Linked DNA regions of Oryzias latipes. The protein of the gene in region 1 purifies or fractionates together with the protein of each later gene. This does not show direct contact. Links are inferred from orthologs where the notes say so. Each region holds a gene or a part of one and is shown in the gene's direction. Other genes may lie near its edges. The genes, in order: eif4b, ubiquitin carboxyl-terminal hydrolase 11, eif3f and eif3b.

Region 1 (4,112 bases):
CTCCTCCTATAGACTTTTAGCGCCACCTTTCTTTTGAAGAAAGCACAGCAGCTGTGTTTCCATTTCAACTTTGGAGAGAAGACTAGAATAGCAATTGGTTTTTGTCTCTTGGGTCACATTTCATATAACATTATAAATAATAACATTGTTAAAACACAAAAAATATAAATAAAATGCTTAAGTTTCCACTTTGTGGCCTCTACAAGAAGCTTCAGGTCTGTGTTTTGAATTTTATAAGAATTGTCACTTGTTTTAAAGGTTGTTCACTCTCAATCCTATCAGCTTTCATAAATGGTGGCTTGTTAAAAATAAGCAAAAAGGTTATAAGGTAAATATGAGGACAAAATGCAGCCTTCCCCTTTGATGGGATGTCTTGTGTAAATGAGTTTTATGCATTGATGCCTTTAGTGGGAGTGGATGGCAACCTGAGAAAACGCCCTCTGAAAAAGCGGTTATTTGTTTGCTTTATTTACAGCTGCTGCAGTTATGAAGAACTGAGTAAAAAGGTTTACTGGTCTTGATACTTTTGACCAATCAGAGTACTTTTTTAAGATATGCGCAGCACAATATTTAAGTGATTAAGAGGTAAGATTTTACTTTTATTTTGTTTTGTACGTGTGTGTGTTGCATATTTATTAAATAGCCTACAAGCCGTGTGTAAACTTTGCACATATGTCTGAAACAGATTTCTACTTGCAAATATTTTTTAAAAAGCTGTAGACAAAACAAAGAAAAACAAAAAACAGTAAAAATAATATACAAGTGTAAATTTATGTATTAAAAAAGGTAGTTCAATTGTATAATTTTAGAGATTTGGACCACTGTGCATGGGTCCACAACGCCAACATTGGTTACCATTACAATATATTTTTTTTCACACTAAGTTCCCTAAACCAGTACAAGGCAGCTTAGTTTAAACAGCACCTTTTATACAGGTGATGTGTGCAAACAGAAAAAGCTTTGGCAGTATCAAGCAAATAAACAAATTAAAAAAACGTATTTACGTATTTTAAGAACAATTTTCAACATGATACTAAATTTAAAGAAAAGCGTTTATTGATTTTTTTATTTAAAGAAAACAATAATAAAGTCATGCATATCATTTTTTGATTCCCCACCATAACGGCTGTTTTATGTTTTATTTTTCAACTATAAAAATTTAAATGTAAATATAGACCAGAGTAAATATTCAAAAATACATATTTTTGGATTTCTTTTTACAAAATTGTGTGTGGGTGGGTGGGTGTTAGGCCCATGTAATGTCCAAGCAGGAAACTAGGGAGGAGGCCGAGGCGCGCAAACGGCGATGCGCGCTCCCGACAATAAACAACTGACGCTTTCATCCGGGAACTTTATGGAACTCGCTCTCCAACATGGCGGCGTCAGGTGAGGTTTATGTGGGTGAGCGCCGTGGGTCGGTTATTAGAAACGTGTACAGCGAGTTACTTCAAAACAAATTTTCAGTAAACGTCTTAAAAATGACACGCTGTAGCCTGATCGGCTAACGTTCTTGTCTCCGGCCTGAACGCTTGTTTGGTGGCTGTTTAGCCCGCCGAAGACGCAGATGGCTGGGGTTAAGCTAATGACGGAGCAACTGGCTGTTATCGCAACGTTTTCGTGGATAAATCGGAAAGGAGGCTCTGGGGTTTGTTGCTATGCGACCTGTTTGTTTTCGCTCCATATAACATGGACTGATCAGGGGGACATAGGTTGCGGGTCGTTCCCGCAGAGCTGGCACACTGCATGTCAGTTGCAGAGCTACTCAGCTAGCCGTGGCGCTCGCGCTCAGGACACCGGGCGCAAGCGCGAGTTCTGAAGGAGGGGTTGGGCTGAGGCGTCCAGGCCGCCTGAAGTAGAGGCTCCCCACGTGTGCGGCGCCGTTCCCTTCTTAGCTGGCTGTGGTGAAGCTGGGCCTGCTGGGTCGCATCCGAAGCGCCGAGCTGTCTGCGTCAGAACTGGAGTCGTGGTTGGTTCTTTCAGCCGGACAAGTCCGACGCAGTTGATGGCGCACTTGGATCCCAGCGCTGCTACGTGCGCCACTAGGCCCTAAAACCTAGCCGGCTAAGCAGGGATACTTCCCCGTCAGCACTCTTCTGCTGACTAAGCCCGCATAGACACAAAAGACAAAAGCGATCAGCCCAAACAGAAACCTCCCGACACGTGCTCATATACTACTCCCGCTAAGTTTTGCCCCTTTAGTGCAGCTTTTTGGTAAATTACCTAGTGATGCAAGCACGTGACGTTCACTATACCGAGGCTTTTCCTATAGAAATAGAAGATCAGTCTGGTTTTCTGTACACCTGACAGCCGGGATTTTCACAGAAAAGCACAACCAGCTCTGTCTCTACGCCTTTTCTGCCTCAAACCAAAAACATCCAACCTGCTCTGGTTGGATCATGAATGAAGCCTCGTGAGAAACTGGGGGCTTTGTGAGGAATGTTACACTACTGTCTGACCTTCAACTCTTCATATTTGATTGCTTTGGCATTGATTAAATGTCATGAAACCAGCTTTTGCCCCCTGTATTTTTTTGTGGCTTGCTGTTCTGATGGATTTATTTTAAATGGCTTCCTCAAGAGATGTCTACTGTAGTGAAGGGTGTGTTCAGCATTTCAGGCCCACGTGAGCTAATAGGAGTCAAGCGCCTTCTGATAAGTGGCTGGCTGCCCTTAGTTTGCCTCATCTGCCCTTTGCAGCAAATGTGCAGTCAAACCTACTGAAGGTGATTTTGTTGTAAGAAAATCCTGTTGGCTGCAGGTGAAGATTCTGGGAAAATGGACGTGTCCTTCGGACTGCCTTCCACTGTTGCGTTGTGATCGTGTGCAACAAACTTTGCATGTCGAGTTGGTTTAAAGCTCTCATCGTTTTGACTTAAAGGTGCATCGTGTTGGTGTAATTTGGCAGTTGGGCCTGCAGGCCACTCCCTGAACATTTCTCCAATGGGGAAATAAGTGTAATATTTATCATGTACACATGGTGCCCCCCCCCCCCCTTATCTAACTCTGCTCCACATCTTTTTGCACAGAGGAAAAAACCTGCATGCTTCAGGACAGACAGAACAGCAGTTTTACGAACAATAATGTCGTTCTAATAACGCCTCTGTTTGGGCAACACAAATATTATCTGCCGGTACGCTCAGCACCAGGCTGTGAAATTTGACTAACTTGAGGATGACGTCTCCTAACTTGATGTGTGGTGTCCGTCTATCTTCTAGCTAAGAAGAAGAACAAGAAGGGGAAGACCTTCAGTCTCACTGACTTCCTGGCAGAGGACTCTGGAGGCAACCCCGCCGCGCCTCCCAGCTACCCAAGCAAGTCCACGAGTTGGGCAGATGATACTGACGACCTGGATGGAGACGGTGAGCAGAAAAAAACGAATGGTGTGTAGTTCAGTGTTTTTTATTCTCTTAATGGAGGAAAAGTTTGAGCTGGGGATGTAGTTGGACTCTTCTGAAACTGCCTCAATACTACGGAGTGCTGAAGGAAACGAGCATCAGCAGGCTGGTAAAGGCAGCGGGATGCAGGCGACGTTCAGCTGCAGAAAGCTCACATCCAGCAAAGGATGGAGTTCTGCTTAAGCTTTCATAAAACTGCTCTAAAATGTGGACTTGATCACACTTAATTCCTTTGTTTGCTTTTAAATAGTGATGTGAGGCCAAACCTGTGAAGAGTTTGTACTCTGAAAATTAAAAAAACAACATTTCCAAAGTACGGTTTTGTGTATTCTTTAAAAAATCAAAATCCTATATTGCGAAGGCCAAGAGGAAAGTTCATGTTGTAAAAATGTCAAGGAAAAGATTGCTGTACTTAAAAAGCAGCTGTTTGTGTGGTTTTTTTGTGTTTTTTTTTCTTTTTTCTTCCAGGGCTTTTTGCTGTGAATCCTAAACCCAAAAGTTTTTATTTTTTGTTGTTGCTGTATGTGTTGACCCTTTTAACACCTGGGGGGTATTCCAGAAAGCACGTTTAAACTACCCCGACTTTAACCCTGAACTCTGGCTGAAATCCACCTGAACTTGCTTACTCTGGGTATGTCGGTTCCAAAAGACCGGATATGAGTTGGCGTAATTACGCTGGACTTGGTAACCCTGGGTTAATGTGCATGCACGGCTAGTA
Region 2 (4,340 bases), on another chromosome or scaffold:
TATCATTTGAAAGCTTCTTTTCTACGTATAATGTAAAATGCAAAAAAGCTGAATGTAACAAAATAACCAAGGCAATTCCCTCAACAATAAAACAACTTATTGAAAATACTAATCTTGATATCTTATATCTCTGTGTCATGGATCAAGACTTTACAGAAAAAGAAAAACCAAACAAGATACTACGTAAACGTTTAAACAGTCATCTCTATCCCGTGCAATCAAACAAAAATTCTATTCTCAATTTTCTGTTTTTATATACATCTTATGTCTTTAATGTTAGTGTCTTATCATGATTTTAGCCCCAGTGTTTCTTGTGGGGATCTTTTCCTCCAGGGTCGGTGGTTGTTGCTGCAGTTCTTGCCCTTGCTGGGGCAGCTGGGGTCTAACTTTGCAGCTTCACGGCTGTGAAGTGAACCCCAGTGTTGTCCCAGTCTGGGTGGGCGCCGTGGCGATGCTCCCATGGCCGGGCTGGCTCCTGGTATGAAAGGATTCCCAAATACTGTTTCCTCACAGCAGAGCCAAGCTATACTTGTTTGTTTGTTTGTTTGCTTATTTATTTATTTAAGCTACATAGTCATTATTCTTTGTACGTGGGGGCCATGGGTCATGTGTTTTAACGGAGGGGAGTGGGAAGGGTGAAGGGTGGGTTGGGTTTTTACTGTAATATTGTGTGTTTTCCGTTCTTAATGGTAAAGCGCTTCGAGCTGCACAAAATGCATGAGAAGCGCTATTTTATAAATAAAGTTTGATTTGATTTGATTCTCCAAAAATTTTCTGAAGCATAAATTAAAAAATGGAGAACCAATTATTTAAAAGTCCCAGTAACCTCAAAAACAAAAGAAATTCATCATGAAATTTTAAACAAGATAATATCCATCCAGTGAACTGCTAGAAAGAGATTCAATGCGGAATGTGACTATTGTACTTTCTGTGACTCAGGAACAGAAACTATCTTTTCTTTCATTGTTCACACTCCAAGACTTTCTGGAAACATCTATTGGACTGGCTCTGTCCAGCTACAAATCAACCTCACTTTGGACAACATCATCTTTGGGATCGACCTGAAGGACTCACACATGGACTAAGCCTTAAACAATCTGCTGTTAATCTCAAAATGTTTTATTCATACCTTCATATGGAAAAAAAATACGGCCTAATTTCATTTTATTTAATAACATTTGCAAGACAGTTATTTTAATGCTTTAAAATGTATTTATAACAAGTTTACTACTGGACATATTAAAAAAATGTAATTTATTCCAAGCCCTTTTTTTACAAATATGTGTGAGTGAGGTTTAATTTATTTATTCATGTCATCCTTTTTTCATGTTACTTCTTTTATTTATTTTTCCTCAGTTAGGTTTACTTGTTACAGAGTCATTGTTAATGAACACAGTCAGATTGCCTGTTTGATCAAATAAAGTAAAAGAAAAAAAAAGAACTATAACCAAAACTGGGACGTTCAGATCCGGAAGTTGTCATCATCCGGGTCACCGCCACTTCCTACTTCCGCAAACACAGTTCTGTGTTGCTTCTTTCCCCCCGTTCTTCAATGCTGCGGTCGACTGCTGCCGTATATATTTCGTCACGTTGATGTTCATTACAGTTACGACATTTATGACCGATTGATTCCCACCATGACGGCCAACAGCCGCTGTTCCGCCGCAGAGCCTCCGGGTCTGGAGACCCAACGGCGGGAGATCGAGTGTCTGTTGCGGGAGTGTGAGCTCCGTGCCGGGGACAGTTGGTGAGTGTTCGCCCGCCACCGCCGCTCCCTGTTACACAGACACATAGTGACAGAAAGCCGCTGTTGTCACGAGCGAGGAGTTTCACGGTAGAGTCGAGCTGCTGTGGAGTTCTCGTTGTAGAGGTTGAAGTCCTCGGTGCTCGCCATTAGCTTCTCCTGTTAGCTGTGGTGAAGCTAACGCTAACGCCCCTGCTTTAATGAGACGTTCACAGTCGCCACGGAAGCTTTTCGATTATGGGATTTAATACAATTATAACACAAAATAATTTTTTGTGGCAGTATATTTTCTGTCGGCTCCGTGATCTGTTTGTGAGGCGCAACAGTTTGCTTTCAGTTTCGCTTCTTCTGATTGAGAAACAAACTGGGATTTATTATTACATTGACTCGAGTGTTGCTTCCAAAACGGAACTCGTTTGTTTCTGTGCTCTGAGTCTGACATATGTGGTTGTTTTGGGCGGTTGATAATGACAGTTTAACTATCAGCTGTGATTTTTTTTTTTTTTTTTTTTTTTTTGCTCGAATAAGTGGGGAGATGATCAGATCAAGTGAAACTAGTTAGCTGGCAAAGAAGACTCGAGCATTCTCCAAACCTGCTTCTAAGATCCGGAAACAGGTTTTTGAGCCCATCCCTGCTAACCAAATAACAAACAAATGAATACTCAGCAAAAGAAATCTAAAAGGGACACCACTGAAGCAACTCAGCCCCATCTTCATCCACACCTGTGTCAAATTCTGCATTGACCTCTGAGACTCTTGCTGTGCCCTTAGTCAGGGTGAGAAGCTCGGCCGTCTTGAGAGATCTTAGAGTAGAGCTGCTGCTCCTCCACATCCAGAGGAGACTTGGGCACCTGCTCCTGGAAGCTCCTGGGATGTCCCACAGGGCAGTGGCCCCCGGATGACTGGACATGCTGGAGAGACTGCATCTTCTGACTGGGAATGCCTCTGGACCCCCCCAGAGGAGCTGCAGGAAGGGTCTTAGACTCTTTGCTTGGACTGCTGCCCCCGTGACCCGGACGAGCGGAAGAACATAGATGGATGAGTGGACTCCCCAGAGTTCTCCACAAATCCCTTCAAGTGGTTCAGACGCTCGTTTCATCACCCAATATCCATCTCTTCTGTTCTGGAGGAACCACAGCATCTTCCAGTAGACTCTAAATAGAATGCATTCTGCACATACACCTACAAGCCCCCCCCCCATCTGTTTAATTTCCATTGCCCCATCTCCTGTTCTGCCAATCTTCCTCCCTCCTTCAATTCAGCTAGAAGTTCCGCCTCAGGACCACAGAGAGACGAACTTTTAGCTAAACTTATTCTCTCAAATTGAACATGATTAGCTGTACAGATAAACCTGGTCAGTGGAGAAACTAGTTTACGGGTTTAGAAGCCGGCTTACTTTAGGACATGTAAACACACCTATTTGTCTTATCTACAACTATTAAACAGCTGTCCCGTCATTTCATCTTCATTATTCGCATTTTTATAGTTTCGTTAGTTCAGATTCAGCTGCTTGTGGTGTTTTTCAGCAGCAGGAACTGGATGTTATTAGAAGAAGAAAAACATGGCCCGTTCTTCTTTTTGTCACTTGAACGCAAACATTTTGGTCCTGTTGTGTTATGATCCCAACAAAGTGTCAGTCAAATGAGAGTCTGGATCTTAACTTGGTTCTGGGCCTCATGTGTCCAATTGTCCGACACAAAGTCCACTGCCAGTCTGAACACCTCACACTTCTTTGTAGACAACTCCTGGGCTTGAAGAAAATTAACTCCTGCTGATCAAAGTGCTGTGGTAACAAAACAAGCCCTTATCACCATACCTCCACCACCATGCCTGACAGTAAATTTGAGTTTCAGCAGATATTGCCTGGTCATTCAGATCCAGTTTTGCCATCTGCCTTTGTGTTGTCATGTTTCCTCACACAAAAGAAGCTTTGTCTGTGCAAGGAAGGAAAAGCCTGAAAGCATCTGTTTGGATAACACTTCTATGAACTTCTAATATGTACCACTTTTGAAATGCGGCTCTTGGAAAGGCTCATCAACATTTCTGGTAGTTACCAATTAACCCCCCCCCCCCCCAACAAAAAAACAAAACAAAAACAAAACGAAGACTCTAAATTGTCACTAATTGTCATTAATGTGAGTGTTCATGGGTGTGACCCTGCGACAGACTGGCGACCTGTCCAGGATGTCCCTTCCCTTCGCCCAGGAGTGGCTGGGATAGGCTCCAGCAGCCTAGTGACCCTGAAAGAGACAAAACAGGTTTAGAAGATGAATGAATGAATGAATGAATGAATGAATGAATGAATGAATGAATGTTTTTTTAGCCTTTACACTTTAAACAGCAGCATTTTTTTGGCTGAAATGAACTGAATGCAGCAGAACAGGAAATGCCTTTTATTGTGTTTCTAAGGAGATGGACAGTGTGATTTGTGCTTCAAAAGTGACGCAGCGTCCTTTACCAAGTGAACAGGAAACAAGTTTAATTCGGTTTCATTTACATAGCCCAATACTACAACAATAGTCATCTCAATGGGCTTCATACCGTAATTGTACAATAAACATGAAATCAGTCTTAAGATGTAATGGGTAATAGCTAA
Region 3 (4,203 bases), on another chromosome or scaffold:
ATTAAATCATACCATCGACCTGTTGGGGCCATTTATTGTCTGAAGTAAATCGAATGATCCTCTTTAAAGATTGTCATAAATACAGGTGAACATTTACTGTTTTCTTTAAACCTCTTAAAGGCATTTGTCTCATGAAACTAAACTCTACAGACAAATAAATCTGTGATCTTGTTCCCTTAAAGACATCATGATCTCTGTGCACATCTGACCATGCACATTTAATGAAGCAGCCTTTATAAAACGCCTCGGGCTGGGTGCATGCGTGGTCCTTCAGTGTGTGTGCGCGTTGTGTAAGTGCACTTTACTGCTATTTTAAATTTTGAGGACTTGCATTATAGTCCTATTGGGATGTCTTACATAAGTGTCGGAGAGCAGTCTGGGTTAAGAAGGTGTGAGGGGAATATTTGCACAGTAAAATGGAGCGCGGGTCGTGCGTCCTGCGTCCAACCACAGCTGGTGGATGGACGCAGGAGACTGATGTAATTATATAGCGGCTATGAAGATGACGCACCACCTCAGATGGATGCATCAGAAATAGCCTCAGTAAAGGATGCCCGTGAGTCAGTACGCCGCAGAGAACGAGCTAAATCCTACCTGTTTGGTGCAGCAACTTGTAGATAAGATCTTCTTTTATGGGCAGATCAGGAGAAACGGGGTCCAAAAACGAGCCGGTTCTGGCACCTTTGTTTCGATGACACCCATTTCTGGTGTTTAGCAGCGACGCCGCATCAGTACACTCCTGTTCGCTCCTCCAGGAAAACAAAAGAAGAAGAAAAAGCACTCAGTAAACCGCGCAGGAAAAACCCAAAATCACGACCCATCCAGACAATTATCGAGAGTAAAGAGTTGAAGGCAGCGGGAGAACATTTGTCGTGCAGTGGATGTGCGAAATGGTGGCAGAGGGGCAACCCGGCAGCAGCTCCATCATCTGCGCGTCCGATGGAGTCGGTCAGGTGTGAGTGAGGCTGTGAGCGACGCAGGAGGCTGTCATCAGTGCAGCCCCCGTCCACCTCACTGCCTCAGACGCACAACAGGGAGAGACACCCCCCCCCGGAGCCTGTTTGCGGAGTTCACAGAGGAAATGTGGACTTAATTCACTTACAATGTAACCGCATACACCTGATTAACAGTGGACATAAAACATAAAATCAAACGCACTACATTCTTGATATAAAATAACATTAGTGTTGGTTTAAAAACCGATTTTGTTGTTTTTTATTATTAAAACACTTCTATTAAAAAACATTATTAGCAGCACTGTCAACAGCACAATCGCCCCCTGTGTATCTATATTTAGTCATATTAATAAAATATGTGTGAGTTTATTTTTAAATCTGTTCATTGGTTGCTGCCCATTCGGCCTCCAGCCTCTAGGTGGCAGTATATGTGTTCGCTCGAGCCGGTAAACGGTCCTCTTTTTTCAAGATGTCGGTGTACGGGCCAGTGGTGAAAATCCATCCCGTCGTTCTCGCATCTATCTGCGACTCGTATGAGCGAAGGAATGAGGGAGCCAGCCGTGTGATCGGAACCCTTTTGGGTAAGCATTAAATTCATGTTTACGTCTTGTCGCAGGAGGATGGATGTTTTCAGAGCGCTAGCGGTGGCTAGCATACGGCTAGCTTTAGCTTGCTAGCTAACGCACGCTGGCTTAGTTTAAACCAATGGTGAAGTCCAGCTGCTAGCTAGCCGACATGTTTTCAACATTACGATTTGTGTAAACAAAACAAACAAAAAAGAATTTTAGCGAGTGAATTGTCATGAATTATATACATAATACAAAGCATCTATATCAATAACGGTTTAACTTTTTTGTCGCTTTCAGGTACAGTTGACAAACACTCAATTGAGGTGACGAACTGCTTCTCTGTCCCCCACAATGAGTCAGAAGATGAGGTGAGTGTTAAACATTAGCGAAATTTAATTGTTTTGCACTTCAACTTAAGGTTAAAAATGTCTCAAACTTTATTTTCTCTTAAAATCTTGGAGAAAGCTTGTACCTATAGCATGATGAATCATATTGCATTTAAGATGACTTCTGTGTTTATTTGAATGATCGATACTTCTGTACTTCATAAATTTATGTAACATTTAACAGGATTTGTTTGTATTTGTTGCCCTTTTTAACACTTGCAGCTTGTTTTGCTGTGATGGCGTACAATAATTCTGCTGCTCAGAAATGATCAGTAAACTAGTTTGTCTGTCTTCAACACCTGAACTAACAAACTGAAAACTATACAAATGTGTCTATCCTCCTGACTACCAGCAATACAAATGTGTTCGGCTGATCCTTTTGCATTCACCTGATGCTGTGTCATCAACGTTATGCTTCATGAGGCGACTTTAAGAAGAATACGTTTCTAGTTTGAAACGGTGAAAAAGTTACTGCCACAATCCTATTTGTTTTCTCAACACACCTCAAATACAATGTGCACGTTCCTCCTTTTTTGAAGGAGTGATCTTCTGTCTGTCCTATTGACAACAGGTCGCTGTTGACATGGAATTTGCAAAAAACATGTATGAGCTTCACAAGAGGGTGTCGCCCACAGAGGTCATCATCGGATGGTGCGTTAGCCGTTTGTATCCGGATACCTATACTCAACAGCTAAAGTTTTCAGATACATTTAAAAGGTGACCTTTTTCCACCAGGTATGCCACAGGCTTTGACATCACTGAACATTCTGTGCTCATCCATGAGTATTACAGCCGTGAAGCCTCCAACCCCATTCACCTGACTGTGGACACGGCATTGCAGAGTGGCAAAATGAACATCCGGGCCTATCTCAGGTAAGCGGATCTGTGCTGCCAACTTGTGTCGTCGTGTTGAGGTTGAGAGGAATCTAAATGTGTTTGTGTATGTCTTACACAGCGCACAGATGGGTGTGCCAGGAAAGACCGTCGGCGTCATGTTTACCCCACTCACCGTCAAATATATCTATTATGACACTGAGAGAATAGGCGGTAAGCAGAAGATACTCTGGTGGTAAAAAGTCTTACTTTTGAGTTATTGGGTTAAAAAATGTTTGTCCCCGTTTCAAATGCACTTCAGAAATGTATGTTTGCGTTTGTAAGATTTGTTCAAAAGCAAATGTACATTTCTATAGCTGGACTTGAATATTTGTTTGTTTTTAGTGGACCTTCTTCAAAGGACACGGGATGCTCCGAGTCGCTCCAAGGGTCTGACCTCTGACCTGTCCCAGGTGGGTGGAGCTGCAGCCAGGGTACAGGACATGCTGACTACGGTGCTGGCATACATTGACGATGTGTTGGTGAGTATTAAGGCTGTCACAAAAAAAATAAAACAAGAAGACATCCTGTGTTGGCACATATGACAAAGTGAAGTGGGTGATCTCTGGTGAAAACCTGTTGGATCTGTTCCAGTCTGGGAAAGTGGCAGCAGATAACAGCGTTGGCCGGTTCCTCACAGACCTGGTGAACAAGGTGCCGACCATCCCACCTGAGGACTTTGAGAACATGCTCAATTCTAACATCAATGTAAGTGCTTCCCCTGATACTGTAATTACAATTTGCATGAGGTTTTTTTTTACCCTTTTGTACTTCTTGACATTGTGAAGATTAAAAGATACTAGCATCTGTACGACTGTGGAACTGGAATTGTTTCTGTGAAATTCAGTTGTGTGTATTTTCTACATGGACGTGCTTGTGGTTTGCTGCAGGACCTGTTGATGGTGACGTACCTGTCCAACCTCACCCAGGCACAGATTGCCCTGCACGAGAAGCTGGTGCTGCTCTCCTGAAATGAACTATTTAAACTTTCTTATTGTTTGGCTGAAGCAAATAAAATGTTAAACAGTCGCATCATGATGTTTTCTTTGGGGTGGGGTGGATCTTACATATAAGAACATCTCAAATTTAAGTTTACCACTAATTAAGAAAACATGTTGAGTATTTGTGACAGTGGTATTGCGTGTTTATTCAGCTTACATTTACTCTTTGAGGTTTCAAAGTGACAATAGTGTTTAAACTCTTTATTTCAGATTATAAAGAGGATTTGGTCAAATGCACAGAACTCTTAAAGTGGAGGAATAATTATGAAAAAACTTTAAATATATTTACTTTGTATTTCCTCAGTAACTTCATTTAGTACTTTTTGTCCTATTCAAGTAACAGTAGACAGCACGTGAGACTCCGTTAAAGTGTTTCAAGTTCTTTTATCCAAAGCAAAATATTGATCTTTATCATTAA
Region 4 (2,231 bases), on another chromosome or scaffold:
GGGAAGTTTTTTGCTAGAATGACTCAAGACACTTTGAGCATCTATGAAACTCCAGTAAGCAAAGCTAAAAAATGAATGTAAATAGTTTTAATTGTTGCTTAAAACACAGTCTGTCTTGTTTTTCAGTCAATGGGTTTGCTGGACAAGAAGAGTCTGAAGATTAATGGGATCAAGTGAGTTTTTCTGTAAGTGTTGGTGACTGGTTTTGTGTTTGGATCTTAATAACTGTGTGTGTGTGTCCATCTTTCAGGGACTTCTCGTGGTCTCCTGGTGACAACATCATAGCTTTCTGGGTACCCGAGGACAAGGACATCCCGGCAAGAGTGACTCTGATGCAGATGCCTTCCCGTCAGGAGATCCGGGTCCGTAACCTCTTCAATGTTGTCGACTGCAAACTGCACTGGCAGAGAAACGGGGATTATCTGTGTGTGAAGGTGGACAGAACGCCCAAAGGGACTCAGGTAACCAAAAAACGGTTGACTTTCACCTCTCGTAGTGAGGAAAGGAGAAGTCTCATATTATTGTTGGTTTCAGGGTGTTGTGACCAACTTTGAAATCTTCAGAATGAGGGAGAAGCAGGTTCCTGTTGATGTGGTGGAGATGAAGGGTGAGAGTTTATTTTGTGCCTTACGTCAGCTGCTGGCAATTCTTCCACAAGAAAGTAGTCCCATGTGGTCCTGTGATGTTTTTTTCTTTAGAAAGCATCATAGCCTTTGCCTGGGAGCCAAACGGCAGCAAGTTTGCCGTTCTGCATGGAGAGTCTCCAAGGATCAACGCCTCTTTCTATCACGTCAAAAACAACGGCAAAATTGAGCTCATCAGTAAGTCTTGCTTTTAGGCTATAGAGATTTTTGGTTCTTATTGACGTCCATTAGCACAAAATGTTGACTTTTTTTGTGTGTTTTGCTTTTTATAGAGATGTTTGACAAGCAGCAGGCCAACAGCATTTTCTGGAGTCCTCAGGGTCAGTTTATGGTGCTGGCAGGTCTCAGGAGGTCAGTAGTGTTTTTGTTAGAAATAAGAAATAATCAGCCAATGAAAAACTTTACCAATTTTTCTGATATCTTGTGTGAGAGCTAAGCTCCTGATTCAAGTGCTGTTCTTAGGCTGTTAGTTTGTCTTCCTCAACTTTTGGTTTTGTGTGTGTGTGTGTGTGTGTGTGCAGCATGAATGGAGCTCTTGCCTTTGTAGACACATCCGACTGTACCATGATGAACATAGCAGAGCACTACATGGCTTCAGATGTGGAGTGGGACCCAACTGGTCGCTACGTCGTCACATCCGTCTCCTGGTGGAGCCACAAGGTGCGTTTGGATTTAACACCATTCCACGCGTTTTAACCGGAAAGCAAAAAAATCTCACACTCGCATAATTTTCTACTCATCCAGGTGGACAATGCATACTGGGTGTGGACATTCCAGGGTCGACTCCTTCAGAAAAACAACAAGGACCGCTTCTGCCAGCTACTGTGGAGACCCCGACCTCCCACTCTGCTGAGTGCAGATCAGATCAAGGTAACTTTTATCTGTAGCGTCTGTAGGGTAGTACAGAACAGTCGACTGACTCTTTTCCCTTCTTCTGCAGATGATCAAGAAGGATCTGAAGAAATACTCAAAGACCTTTGAGCAGAAAGATCGTCTGAGTCAGTCTAAGGCTTCAAAGGTTCGACATCTTACCCGTTTTTTTCCTCCACTCCCTCATTGTGCTGTGTGATCATGCATGTGTACGCTCCATAAGATTCACATGGTGTTTGTTTCTATAGGAACTGGTGGACAAGCGAAGAACCATGCTTGAAGACTACCGTCGCTACCGAGAGGAAGCCCTCAAGAACTATCAGGAACAGAAGAGCATGCGCCTGGAGCTCAGAGGAGGTGGGGCTTTGCATTACAATGTATGGGCTTGTTTGCATTTTTGTCTTAATGGATAACATTTGTTTTCTTTTCCGTTTGGTGCAGGAGTGGACACGGACGAGCTGGACAGCAATGTGGATGACTGGGAGGAGGAGACCATTGAGTTTTTTTGCGACGAAAAAATCATTGCCCTCGACGATCTGTAGTCCCCCACGCAGGTGACTTTTGTTGTTTTGGTTTATACACACGTGGACAGAAATGTTAGCGCACCACATTCACTGACACAACTGTATAAAATGTATTCAAGCATTTAGCTCTGGGCATTGATCATTTTAATAGTGTGAAGTTTTTTTCCGGTGTTATAGGAAGGTTCTAATGATT

Evidence for each region.
Region 2: the proteins of eif4b (region 1) and ubiquitin carboxyl-terminal hydrolase 11 purify together in Homo sapiens (affinity purification with western blotting; 3 studies listed by BioGRID, with this or other methods). This does not show direct contact. The link is inferred for Oryzias latipes from reciprocal best matches to the Homo sapiens genes EIF4B and USP11.
Region 3: the proteins of eif4b (region 1) and eif3f purify together in Homo sapiens (affinity purification with mass spectrometry; 3 studies listed by BioGRID). This does not show direct contact. The link is inferred for Oryzias latipes from reciprocal best matches to the Homo sapiens genes EIF4B and EIF3F.
Region 4: the proteins of eif4b (region 1) and eif3b purify together in Homo sapiens (affinity purification with mass spectrometry; 3 studies listed by BioGRID and IntAct, with this or other methods). This does not show direct contact. The link is inferred for Oryzias latipes from reciprocal best matches to the Homo sapiens genes EIF4B and EIF3B.

What each region holds. Positions count from the first base shown.
Region 1 is NC_019863.2:29,761,154-29,765,265, reverse strand, and holds the start of eif4b (eukaryotic translation initiation factor 4B), read left to right. Parts: upstream 1-1,289; 5' UTR 1,290-1,373; coding exon 1,374-1,386; intron 1,387-3,214; coding exon 3,215-3,379; intron 3,380-4,112. UniProt on the Homo sapiens protein: Required for the binding of mRNA to ribosomes. Functions in close association with EIF4-F and EIF4-A. Binds near the 5'-terminal cap of mRNA in presence of EIF-4F and ATP.
Region 2 is NC_019865.2:28,608,273-28,612,612, forward strand, and holds the start of ubiquitin carboxyl-terminal hydrolase 11, read left to right. Parts: upstream 1-1,488; 5' UTR 1,489-1,637; coding exon 1,638-1,747; intron 1,748-4,340.
Region 3 is NC_019875.2:2,469,808-2,474,010, forward strand, and holds eif3f (eukaryotic translation initiation factor 3 subunit F), read left to right. Parts: upstream 1-1,384; 5' UTR 1,385-1,425; coding exon 1,426-1,537; intron 1,538-1,822; coding exon 1,823-1,893; intron 1,894-2,482; coding exon 2,483-2,562; intron 2,563-2,646; coding exon 2,647-2,784; intron 2,785-2,866; coding exon 2,867-2,958; intron 2,959-3,129; coding exon 3,130-3,266; intron 3,267-3,378; coding exon 3,379-3,492; intron 3,493-3,674; coding exon 3,675-3,755; 3' UTR 3,756-3,816; downstream 3,817-4,203. UniProt on the Homo sapiens protein: Component of the eukaryotic translation initiation factor 3 (eIF-3) complex, which is required for several steps in the initiation of protein synthesis.
Region 4 is NC_019859.2:21,379,798-21,382,028, forward strand, and holds part of eif3b (eukaryotic translation initiation factor 3 subunit B), read left to right. Parts: coding exon 1-54; intron 55-126; coding exon 127-173; intron 174-250; coding exon 251-461; intron 462-534; coding exon 535-607; intron 608-698; coding exon 699-821; intron 822-916; coding exon 917-995; intron 996-1,165; coding exon 1,166-1,304; intron 1,305-1,388; coding exon 1,389-1,514; intron 1,515-1,584; coding exon 1,585-1,662; intron 1,663-1,762; coding exon 1,763-1,871; intron 1,872-1,955; coding exon 1,956-2,056; 3' UTR 2,057-2,068; intron 2,069-2,231.